3 linked regions of the Oryzias latipes genome follow. The protein of the gene in region 2 purifies or fractionates together with the protein of the main gene of each other region. This does not show direct contact. Links are inferred from orthologs where the notes say so. Each region holds a gene or a part of one and is shown on either strand. Other genes may lie near its edges.

Evidence for each region. Proteins that work in one complex are often made in the same cells at the same time.
Region 1: the proteins of mtmr3 (region 2) and aurka purify together in Homo sapiens (affinity purification with mass spectrometry; 3 studies listed by BioGRID and IntAct, counting the BioPlex papers as one, with this or other methods). This does not show direct contact. The link is inferred for Oryzias latipes from reciprocal best matches to the Homo sapiens genes MTMR3 and AURKA.
Region 3: the proteins of mtmr3 (region 2) and plk1 purify together in Homo sapiens (affinity purification with mass spectrometry; 4 studies listed by BioGRID and IntAct, with this or other methods). This does not show direct contact. The link is inferred for Oryzias latipes from reciprocal best matches to the Homo sapiens genes MTMR3 and PLK1.

Annotation. Positions count from the first base shown.
Region 1 is NC_019863.2:11,351,696-11,355,447, reverse strand, and holds the start of aurka (aurora kinase A), read left to right. Parts: upstream 1-860; 5' UTR 861-1,209; intron 1,210-1,520; 5' UTR 1,521-1,523; coding exon 1,524-1,589; intron 1,590-2,098; coding exon 2,099-2,444; intron 2,445-2,523; coding exon 2,524-2,560; intron 2,561-2,651; coding exon 2,652-2,843; intron 2,844-3,752. UniProt on the Homo sapiens protein: Mitotic serine/threonine kinase that contributes to the regulation of cell cycle progression.
Region 2 is NC_019867.2:25,608,846-25,612,597, reverse strand, and holds the start of mtmr3 (myotubularin-related protein 3), read right to left. Parts: upstream 2,212-3,752; 5' UTR 2,192-2,211; coding exon 2,100-2,191; intron 1,867-2,099; coding exon 1,806-1,866; intron 448-1,805; coding exon 391-447; intron 1-390. UniProt on the Homo sapiens protein: Lipid phosphatase that specifically dephosphorylates the D-3 position of phosphatidylinositol 3-phosphate and phosphatidylinositol 3,5-bisphosphate, generating phosphatidylinositol and phosphatidylinositol 5-phosphate.
Region 3 is NC_019859.2:22,726,639-22,730,390, reverse strand, and holds the start of plk1 (serine/threonine-protein kinase PLK1), read left to right. Parts: upstream 1-1,223; 5' UTR 1,224-1,625; coding exon 1,626-1,988; intron 1,989-2,333; coding exon 2,334-2,502; intron 2,503-2,687; coding exon 2,688-2,832; intron 2,833-2,920; coding exon 2,921-3,014; intron 3,015-3,104; coding exon 3,105-3,330; intron 3,331-3,436; coding exon 3,437-3,479; intron 3,480-3,554; coding exon 3,555-3,652; intron 3,653-3,740; coding exon 3,741-3,752. UniProt on the Homo sapiens protein: Serine/threonine-protein kinase that performs several important functions throughout M phase of the cell cycle, including the regulation of centrosome maturation and spindle assembly, the removal of cohesins from chromosome arms, the inactivation of anaphase-promoting complex/cyclosome (APC/C) inhibitors, and the regulation of mitotic exit and cytokinesis.

The sequences.
Region 1 (3,752 bases), on a different chromosome or scaffold from region 2:
AAAACTTTAAAGAATGTATTTATTTAGAAAAACTGTTTATTTCTTGCTAGTCTTTACATCAAAAAAGAATGTACAACTAAAGAAATGTTACCTGTGAACAGGAGAAAAAAAATGAATATAAGAATAAAAGTAAAATATTTTAACTTAAAAGCTTCCCCTCAATATTTTATTTTCCATGAGAGTTCTGTGGGTTTTGCTTTAAATATTTTCATAATAAAATATAACTGAGAAAACAAACACTTGGGACTAAAAATTTTAACCACTTATTGAAAGACGTTTTCTATTATGGAAAAGAGAGACTAAACTAATAGAGACTAAACTAATTTTTGTGAGCTAGTTGGGTACTTTTGAATTAAAAATCAAATTATATTCGTTCATCTGAAGGCCTCAAGAATGGGGGAGATGTAGTTACTCATTATAAACACAAGGGGCCGCAAGTGTCTTAAAAAACAAAATAAAAAAGTATTTAGTTAGCCCATGCGTCATCATTATCCTAATCAATTTTATGTGAGTAACCAAAGAAAACCTTGGACGGGTGTTGAATTATAACCCCCCCCCCCCCTCCCTTTTTTTTGGCGCAGAATGAGCTTGACCAACCATTTACTTTGGTCTGTTAAACTTCTCCCCTCGTGTTTTTTTCTTTCTAAATAGCTATTACCGTTTTGAGATAGTTTTAATTTTATCTTTTTTGCGTTTATTTGTTTGTTTTCGTAAATTGTTTAAACTGACCGAACTGAACCTGCGCTCTGCCATCTAGTGCTTTGGAACTCCAATTACCCATGACGTTCCTGCCGCCCATTCGATACATTGTATTAGCCAATAGGAAACCGAAATTGGGCATTCTGTCAGCCAATCAGACCAGCTGATTTTTTTTAAAGGTTAAAACAGGGACGTTTGAAATTTCTAATCAGCGTTTCAGGAAAAGAATCGTGTGGTCACAGACATCTCTGTAGTTTAAACCTTTTAGGTGTTTTGAACTAGTTTTGCCGCATATATTTATTTGCTTTCAGTCCAAACAAGTTGTCTGTTCGTAACGTTTCACTGGACTTTGCGTTTATATTTAGACAAAAGGAATTATCTTTCGTTAGCTAGCTTTCGTAGCATCTACGTGGGCATGGTTTTTTTCTTCTTGAATGTATTGGACTGATTAATTCTGGATATTTTAACGTGCCGTGGTTGCTGTATATCATTGTGCAGTAGTACATTTGGGTAAGTTATGTCAGACGTTGCATTAAAAATAGTTTGTATGATAGTTGCTAAGCTAACAGAAGCACTTGTTCATTAACGTTAGCTAGCCTCTGGAGAAGAGAACATCAGCTCTTTTAACTTGACTTAAAGTATTTACTTTTATAAATGTTTTACCTTTACGTGCATAGTTTGTTCACTAAGATTATATTTGATCATTGTCTGTGTAAGTACTACAGTTAGCATTGCGGACCTAAGCCTATAATTTCCTCGTGTTTTCATCTGATACGCTATTTGAATTATATACTTATAATAATATAAACTTTTTCCTTCAGGAAATGGATCCTTCTCCCTCACTCAAGGTGACAAAGAGTGTGAAACTGCAAAAGCCTGAAATAAAGCAGGTGAAGTCAGACTGATTTTCTTTTTTTAAGTTTAAATGTCTAACTTTTTTATGCCCTTCACTGCATTTTCATATATAGTATAGTAATTAGGGATTGATTTATATTCAATGTTGGAAAATACCATTTGGATTGAGAAATATAAATGACCAAGTGACATCACAGCGGACAACGCACGTGATCAAGCCATCATTACAAAATGTGTGGAAACACTTTGGATTTAGCAAAAACATGATTATACGGTGTGATAGAACCTTCTAATACTGTTCCATATATATTATTTTTATGTGTATCTCTGAGTCACACTGGTTGAATTTTGGTTAAAGATGTCTGGGATCCATTGTAGGTCAGTGAAACAGATCGAATCATTCAAATCAAACAAGAATGAACTATGAATCTACAACCCCTAATGGTAATATAGGTTAGAAAGTAATACTGATGTAGCAATATGTAAAGCTGCATTTCCTTGAATTAAATGTTAAAATTTCTATTTGCTGGTCTCTTAATTGCAGTCCGGCAGTGATGGACCACGACGAATTCCTGTGTCTCAACAGCATCAAATGGTTCCCAAGGCAATAGTCACACCCACCTCGCATCAGCGAGTTCTCAGTGTGTCAAATGGACCTCAGCGTATCCAGCGACCTGTTAGTCATCAGAAACCGGTATCTCAAGTCGCTTTTACCAACAAGTCCTCACATTCTGGCGATCAGAATGTGAATCCAGCTACTCTGAATGCACATCATGCTCCACCGTCTAAACCTACGTCCCAGCAAAACCAACCAAAGACTCAGGTTCTCGGTGCAAATCCAGATTTGGCCAAGCCACCGTCGGAACCCATAAAAGCAGACAAGCAACAGAGTAGGTTATGCCACTGAATTAAACACATTTCTCACGTTTAAAAATAAGTTATTTATACATATATATTATATTTTATCAGGCAAGCTCTCAAGAACTGAGCAGGGCTCTACATCCAAGTATGTCAAGTACAGACTATTTTTTATCATGCATGTATAAGCCTGAAAATGTTCTCTGGAAGGCTGTAACCAGACTGTTGTGCTCATACAGGAAGCGATGGAGCCTAGAAGACTTTGACATTGGTCGTCCTTTAGGAAAGGGAAAGTTCGGCAACGTCTACCTCGCCCGAGAGCGACAGACCAAGTTCATCTTGGCTCTGAAGGTTCTTTTCAAGAAGCAACTGGAGAGGGCTGGGGTGGAGCATCAGTTGAGACGAGAGGTGGAAATCCAGTCACATCTCAGGTAATTCTGGCTAACCTGATCTCATCCCAAACAAGTATTTGCAGACACAAATCTCAACCTGATTATGATTTTGGGGCTGATCCCATCTAGTGTTTGTACCTTACAATCATTGACTGACAAACTCCAGTACAGCAAACAGATTCACAGTCAAAATTGCAAAAACAATATTGCTGTCATTTACATAACTGTTTATAGAGAAAGCTTATACAATGTGGGGGTGACGCAAAATCCAATACTACTCATTCAGGAGATTCCGACTTTGAGAGAGAACTTTTTAAAATGGGTTATGATGGCGTTACTATGGAAGCTTGTTAGATTTAAAAAAAAAAAAAACAGGAGATCTTCGTTCCAAGTCTTTTCGTGCTTTTTGTTCTACATAAGCAAAGAAGTCTAAGCAGCCCGGGCTCTAACCTCATCTGCTCATGAAAACTATAGGATGAGCTGCAATTAGAAGTAGAAAAAGTCTCATAGACATGATCTGTTTGTGTTTGTCACAATATCACCAGTCTGTTTTCTTCTTCCTACTTATTCACAAATGTTACAAAGCAAAATGTTGGGTAAGTTTCAAATATTAACCAGTAGGAACTGTTTGTTTCTTTTGTTTGAGTCAATCTCAACGACAATAATAGGCGCAAAGCCCGTGGTTGACCTGCTGGAGGCTCCCGTTGTGGGTGTGGTCGACTTCACCATAATTCTTATGATTTTTGCTATGAGTTTTGTTTCAGAATTTGCTCTTAATATTTTTCTGAACTACTGGTATAACAGTTGTAGTCCTAAAGCGAGGAGCTAAGGACGCGTCTACGACTGACATTAGGGATTTTAGTGAAGGTTGTTTAAACAATAATGTGTTCTTGTGATGTTTTTGAGATTATTGAGGGTGAGTTGTGAGAAATTGATTTTCGGGGTCGT
Region 2 (3,752 bases):
ACAATAGTTGTTGGCCACACATCCTGTGGGATGATGGTTTAGCAAAAGCAGAGGTAACAAACAGCTGACACCACAGAACAGCCTAAAGAGACTACAAACTCTTGCACAAGCTGGGATTTCATGAAAAAGTTCTAGATCAGGGCTCGTGTCACAATGTAATCACAGAAATTACAACCTTACAGGAGAAACTGAAAGTTATCTTGCTTTCACAGCAACCTTAAAGGACCTTTACCACTGTTGGATGTGACGCAACAGTCTACTTCCAGATAAACAGTGCTGATTAAAACTGGTTTAAGGTCAGTTGATTTAGAAGTCCGATTTTGCAGACAGCACATTGATCAAGAAACACAGAAGTCATTATTCCAAAGTATAGAAAAGTGGATACTTTACCATGGCCCCTGGGAAGGAGTGTGGGTCACCCAACAACAGATGCTGATCTAAATCAGTCTTTAAAAAACAAAACACAAAAATAAAATTACTTACAGTAATTGTTTGCACAAAATGTTTAAACTATTAGAGAAAAGCACAGATACTGTAGCATTACCCAATTTGATCTTTATCCACAATCCTTAAATCACCTTTTCACCATCTAGTCTGAGTTGAGGTTTCAAAAATCCAATACTAGCCTGATGCTGAGAATGCGACACTGACTGATTATATTGACACACATATCAAGAGGCTTTTTTTCTGGCTCCTAAGAATACTGACGGATCAATGCATTTTAAATTCTGAGTGGAGGCAAAACTGGAGGTCACCTGGGAAAAGCATCTGTATTCACAGATCTAACAAACAAAGAACAGAGATCAACCTCATTTATTTAAATAACAGCTGTACGTAAAACATAATAAAATTCGCCAACAGAACATAAAGATTTACTTTTAGGGAAGTCGTCACTAACAGCAAACATTCAAGGACCACCAGGGACCTTCTGAAACTGCAACAAACCAGCAGCTACTCAGGATAAGATTGTGGTGTATCCAGGCAAGTTTATTTCTCAACCACAAATAAGACCAAGAATTTGAAATCAAATTTAGGTTAAAATGAATGGAAAGTGGCTTCAGTGCAAACAAATGCAGGTTAGTCAAGATAAGATGTTAAACGTGTTCGAGAAGTCGTTCTGCGAGACAAGAATCTTTGAGTCTCTGAGGCCGTAGACACTTCCGCTTCGACAGCAACCAGAAGTTGGTTTTTATTTCGACATTTGGTGACTTAAATTAGATTCAGACAGTGATGAGTTAACCTTCCGTGAATCCCACATTAATACATAAATCTAAGTTAAAATAGATTTTCTTTATGTTTAAAGTTGAACCAAATTTTAAAAATAAACAAGAAATTAATAAGAATCAAGGCGTTTTACAGTCCGTCAAAAGACTATAATTATTTGAAAAATGTAAAGCAGAAACAAAAGAAACTAATTTCAAGTAAAACATGTTTAGGCCCAGTGATATACCTGACTCACGACTGGATAAATGTCTGTATTAGAGCACACTGCTCAGAAAAACTAAAGTCAGTGAGAAAAGTGATCATAAAAAATAGAAAACACAGCAACAACCTAAGCAAACTCTGCTCAATGCATTGGTTCTGTGATAACTCAGAATTCAAGAAGGTCTTCCATTGAAGTCATTTTGTATCTGCTGACCTTTTGCATAATATTTTTTACATATTTAACAGCATTTACTTTCTATATAAAAAGGCTTTACAACAGCAGATATAACCTTCTAGTACAACCTCTGTGTAAACATTTACATCACGTGTGAAATTGTGGTGAAAACAGTAACTTCACATGATGGCAGTTTCTGACTTACCCACAGACAATCACTAAGCAAAGATGATCCTGTTTGGAAATTCAAAGTAGGACAAGAACATCTGCAAAATAAAAAATAACATATTTTTACCATCAAACATTGCTCTTGATCACGCAAAGTTGTTCTTGACATATATACACATGAAACTGACTAGCCCTACAGACACTTTAATGATATATTTTTTTTAAATGATATTGTCTGTGGTCACTTTGCATTCCAGCTGATATATAATGCAAAATCATATGCAAAATTGAAAAGTGCCAGCTGTAACTCCACATCAGTTTAGGCACTTACTTCAGGTTGATGGGAACTGTAAAAACAAAAGTAAAAAAAAAAAATGCATGCACATATTTAGAACTCCTAATGATTTCTTTTAGGTGGGACATAAATATAAGTATAAAATCAGCCACTTACATTGTTAATAAGTTCAACAGGTAAGATTAAACATCTCATTTTAGAAGAAGCAAGCTGTTACATGTCCCAGCTGAGCAGCAGCCATGGCAGGCAAATAAAAAGAGATATAACTGACCAATAAACGGTTAAAAAACGTCGGCCACTCTTGGAGATGCTGAAATCTGATCCAAGGGGGTCACTGAATCAGTGGTTTCAGCGCACCTGAGTAACAGTGCAGATGCATATGCAAAAAAAACCAAATACTTATATGGAAAAATATAAGAAACAATAAGGCTTTTTTTTTTTTTTTTTGCTTAGCTTGGTCTTTCAGTGTTGTGTATGGAGGCCAAGGAGGGTCAAAACTGACTGGGCCACCCTGCTTTTCCTGCTGCTGCTGCTACCTGATAAAGTATATCTTGCCAGCGCACGGCTCTGTTTACGACAGCAGGCTCATGACCCACGGATCAAGTCTGGCTGCGAGTTCACTCAATCACGCACGGACGGCTTAGCCCGTTAGAGCCTTAACCCTACTCGTGTCCCGTGATAGACCGGCATGCACTGCGGGCTTTGGCAGTACAGACTAACTTTTCGTTTAGGTTTAATATTCACTGACGTGGATAGTAAAAATGCAGCAAAACGAGGCTAGGTAGGTAAGCAGCGCGACCCCCATATAAACAGCTGCGCTCTAAAAAGTCTAAAAATTGGGTTTGTTAGCTTAAAGTTGCACTGCAAGGCCAATAGTATGCATTTGACAATAATAATGTGAATATGTGTTGAAAATAATACGCAATATTAAGACTTGCAGGCTAACGCTAAGATAAACACGAATTTCCTTTGGGTTACTTTTTATTTTTAACTGACGCCAGAAGCATCAAAGTACGAAGAGTAACATGCAGTGACTAATATTAAAGCTCTTCCACTTTTTTATTTAAATGTATTTGTTAAGGGTTCACATCGGCAGTCAACATTTTAGCGCCTTAACATCCACGAACAAACAGTCTCCTGGAAAAGTACTGTTAACGGCCTAAGACTTGGTCAAAGGGTTCGTTTAGGCTGCAAACAGTCCTAATAAACACGTCCATGTGGTGTGGCAATCTCTTAGCTGTCGGTATTTGGCATTAAAAGCTTTTCCACGGTCTAGCCAGTAAGCTGACTAGTTAGCATTAGCCGGTTGTGCTAGCGCGGCTCTGCAACTGTTTTTGTTGTTATGAGATGGAGGGCGGACCCCAGAGCGGAGGCCTCTGTCAAAACACACAGAGACGCGCTCCTGCCGGCGGACTCACCAGAGAACGGAGCGACGTCGAGTACGAGGCGAAGCAGTCATCCGAAGCCCATGCAGTAACAGAACAGCAAGCCAATCTCCATCAAATAGGCAGTAGTCATATCCGAGCCGACGCTAGCTTCACGGCATCCCCTTCCAGCTCGGAGTCGTCGTCGCCATCGCCGCGAATTCTCCAGCCCGACAGCTTACGTTGGAGTGACGCCATCACGCTCTGCGAGAGGGAGGGGCTCAGATGTACCACGCGGTGCGATCATGTAAACACTGGATGGAGA
Region 3 (3,752 bases), on a different chromosome or scaffold from region 2:
GATCAGCCAGCAACCAGCAATCTATTAACTGGTTACCCCAACTACCATGCAGTGGTGGATAAAGAAAAAAAGAAATGAAAACCTTAGGGGAAAAACAACTTTTTTTTTTTTTTTTAGCTTGGCATGTTGAAACCAAACAGTACAGTCAATATCCAAATGTAAAAAATTGGGAATCTTCATGTATTCTGGAGTTATTATTTAAGTATAGGCATCAACAGGTTAACCATCATGATCAGAAAGTGAAAGTCCTTAATTTCATCATGTTAACATCTTGTCAAATAAACAATAATCTTGGTATCACAAAAACGATGTGACTTTTTTTTAGTGTGGCAAGACAGATTAAACCATTACTGCAGGTTTACTTTCTCATATTGCTTTTGTTACACTATATTTTACTGCTTCTCACCATTTTATGCTTTCCAGCATAAATAATCTTTCAAGTTAAACCCTGAGGCTTTTTTGCTCAAAATCCTTTTTGAATTTCAACCAATCTAGAGTGAAAAATATCCTCCTCACTACCGGCAATAAAAACTTGTCCCCATAGTGGACATTTCTAGACCTGAAAATTATTCAACCACTGCAATTACTGAATGAACTCCTTTTGGTATCTACAGAGGGCATTTGTGGCTTTTCAATGATTACAATGATACACTTAGAATGCCGATAGCACTGTCTGAGAATTTGGTTTGAAACAGTATTTAATGGTTGTTCTAACAGAGTAGAAATTAAAAGAAAACATGAGAAGAAAGCAAACACTCACATGTTTCTCAATTTATGAAAAGTTGAAAGTTTTTCAAGGAAGTGTGGCGCAAGATGAGTGTACACAGTCAGCATGGCAATCAATAAAAATAAAAGTGTATAACCTGAACCAACAATGTCTGTCAATAAAAATCCATCCAAAAAGTGAAAATGACAAATTCATAAAAAACTCATAGTCTAACAAAGATTAAATAAACTTCATATGATCCTCTGCATTCATGTAATATTAGTGTTCAACTAATAACATGAACCTAAATGATCGATATTGGATCAGGAGTGGCCATAATTCGGATAACGCTAATAACAAAACACTTTCGAAATTAAATCCTTTTCCCGACTACATTTCCCATCCGTCTTTCTCGAGGAAACAAAAACAGCCTTTCAGCCAATCAGATTGTTGGAGGCCTTCTACTCTACTCCTGATTGGCTATTTTTGTACACATGTTCCCAAGATGCTTTGCTGTGACGCTGTGGAATTCAAATCTAGCAGACCAATCAACGATCGCCAAAACGACCGAGCCAGCATTTTAAATTTGTACGAGACACTTGTTATCGAAAAGGCAGAACGGGACAAGGCAACCGCTGCCGGGGAAGTCTGCGCAAGAATTCTGCCTCCGGTTTTTTTTTTAATTAATTTATTTAATCTTGGGACCTGTCGGCCTTTAAATGTTAGTCAACGTTTGCGGTTTAGATCGTTTGTTAGTATTTGCTGTAAATTGAGGCGTAGAAAAAGTTAGCTTCGAAGGCTAAACTAACGTCGGTTGAGTTGGAGGGTTAAACAACACTTTAGCCCTTGTTTAATAACTTTTGCGTTTCGACTTCTTTGGAGTTTTATTAACGCGGAAAGAGCACTTTTAAAGTACACCATGAGTGCTGCTATCGCAAAGCCGGCGCAGCCGTCCGGACACGTCGACCCAAAATCGGCTCCTCTGAAAGAAATCCCAGAGGTTTTGGTGGATCCCCGCACCCTGAGGAGATACTCCAAGGGCAGGTTCCTCGGCAAGGGGGGCTTCGCCAAATGCTTCGAAATTACAGACATGGAGACCAAGCAGGTTTTCGCTGGCAAAATAGTGCCCAAGTCGTTGATCCTGAAGCAGCACCAAAGGGAGAAGATGAGCTCGGAAATCTCCATTCACAAGAGCCTCAATCATGCTAACATCGTGGGCTTCCACGGCTTCTTTGAGGACGACGACTTTGTCTATGTGGTCCTGGAGATCTGCAGGAGAAGGGTGAGGATTTTGGGAACTCTAAATGAAAATACATGAAGGCCAACGGTTAACAATGTGGCCTCTTCCGTTACCCCCCCCCCCCCCCCTCCTTTGGCATAGTGCTGGGAGACTCAAATCCCCTGATCACTGCTTTAAATCACTGTTACTTATCCTAAACCAGTAACTTTTTGTAATTTAAAACTATAGAGATATCTAAATTCTTTTTCCCCTTTGTGTTGTTCCACGTGTTGTTTTTAACACTTCTTGAGGTGCCACTTCACTTCATCCAGCTTGTTCATGCTCTCCCAGCCTCCATTTTCCTCCACTGAGTTCAGCCGCTCACCAGAACTGTTGTCCTTTTTCAAGTCCCTGTTGGAGTTGCACAAGCGCAGGAAGGCGGTCACGGAGCCGGAGGCTCGCTACTACATGACCCAGCTGCTGAAAGGGGTCCATTATCTGCACAGCAACAAGGTCATCCACAGAGACCTGAAACTGGGGAACATCTTCCTCAACGACGACATGGAAGTCAAGATAGGTATGGAGAGCAGGAAACCTGTCGGTGTAGTGACAAAGAAACGGGCACACCCATGTTCTTGATATGCTCCCATAACTTCCTTGTTGAGAACTTCCAGCTCCAATTTGTTAACACCCATATTTGGCTTCTTAATATCCTTTACTCAGATTAAACGCTGATCATTTCTTTCTTTCCTTTTTTGCTAGGTGACTTTGGTTTGGCCACAAAGATTGAGTTTGATGGTGAACGGAAGAAGACCTTGTGTGGAACGCCCAACTATATCGCTCCGGAAGTGCTGTGCAAGAAAGGCCACAGCTATGAAGTGGATGTCTGGTCACTTGGGTGCATATTGTAAGTGTGTAAACCCACAGTGGAGTGGGGAAGAGTGTCATTCCACAGGATTCTGGATACTCAACTTCCTTCCTGTATCCTCTCATAGGTACACTTTGTTAGTCGGCAAGCCTCCGTTTGAAACCTCATGCCTGAAAGACACATACAACCGGATCAAGAAGAACAATTACACCATCCCCTGGGTGAGAAGAGCTGACGTTAATCCCTAAATGTACGTAATAGTTGGTGAAAGAAAATCTTAAGTTTACCGTCACTTCACTTGAATGCTGCAGCAAATCAACCCGTCAGCCTCGGCTCTCATCAAGAGGATGCTGCATGCCGATCCTGCCCAGAGGCCCACCATCACTGACCTGCAGACGGATGAGTTCTTCACATCGGGATACGTCCCCCTGCGGCTGCCCACCACTTGTCTCACTGTGCCCCCGCGGTTCTCCATTGCCCCCTCCATGGCTGCAGAGCTCAGCCAGAGGCGCCCCCTGACTGCCATAAACAACAAAGGTAACAAACCCAACAATTGCCCAAAACTGGTGCACTGATAATGAAAGTCTGCAGTTAATCAACAGTGATATTGATGGAGGTTTTTTTTATATATTTTTTTTCTCAGCCGGCACAGAGAAGGTGGACATGAAAGACGAGCCTGCTCCACTGTGAGACATCACACTAAGGTCTAAAACATGCGTCGTAGTTTGATCAAAAATGATAAATGGGAATTTTGTGTGCAGAGAGGCGGAGCCAGAAGAATGTTACCTGAAGGACATGCTGCAGCAGCTCAACAGCATCATCTCTGCCAAGCCTTCAGAGAAGGCGGTCATTCGGCAAGGTGAGAGCAGCCGCCTGCAGGAACTACCTAAACTTTCTGCAGTTTTAGTCAGTCCTTCTTACAGAAAACCCCTTGTCTTTGATTTCAGAGGAAGCAGAGG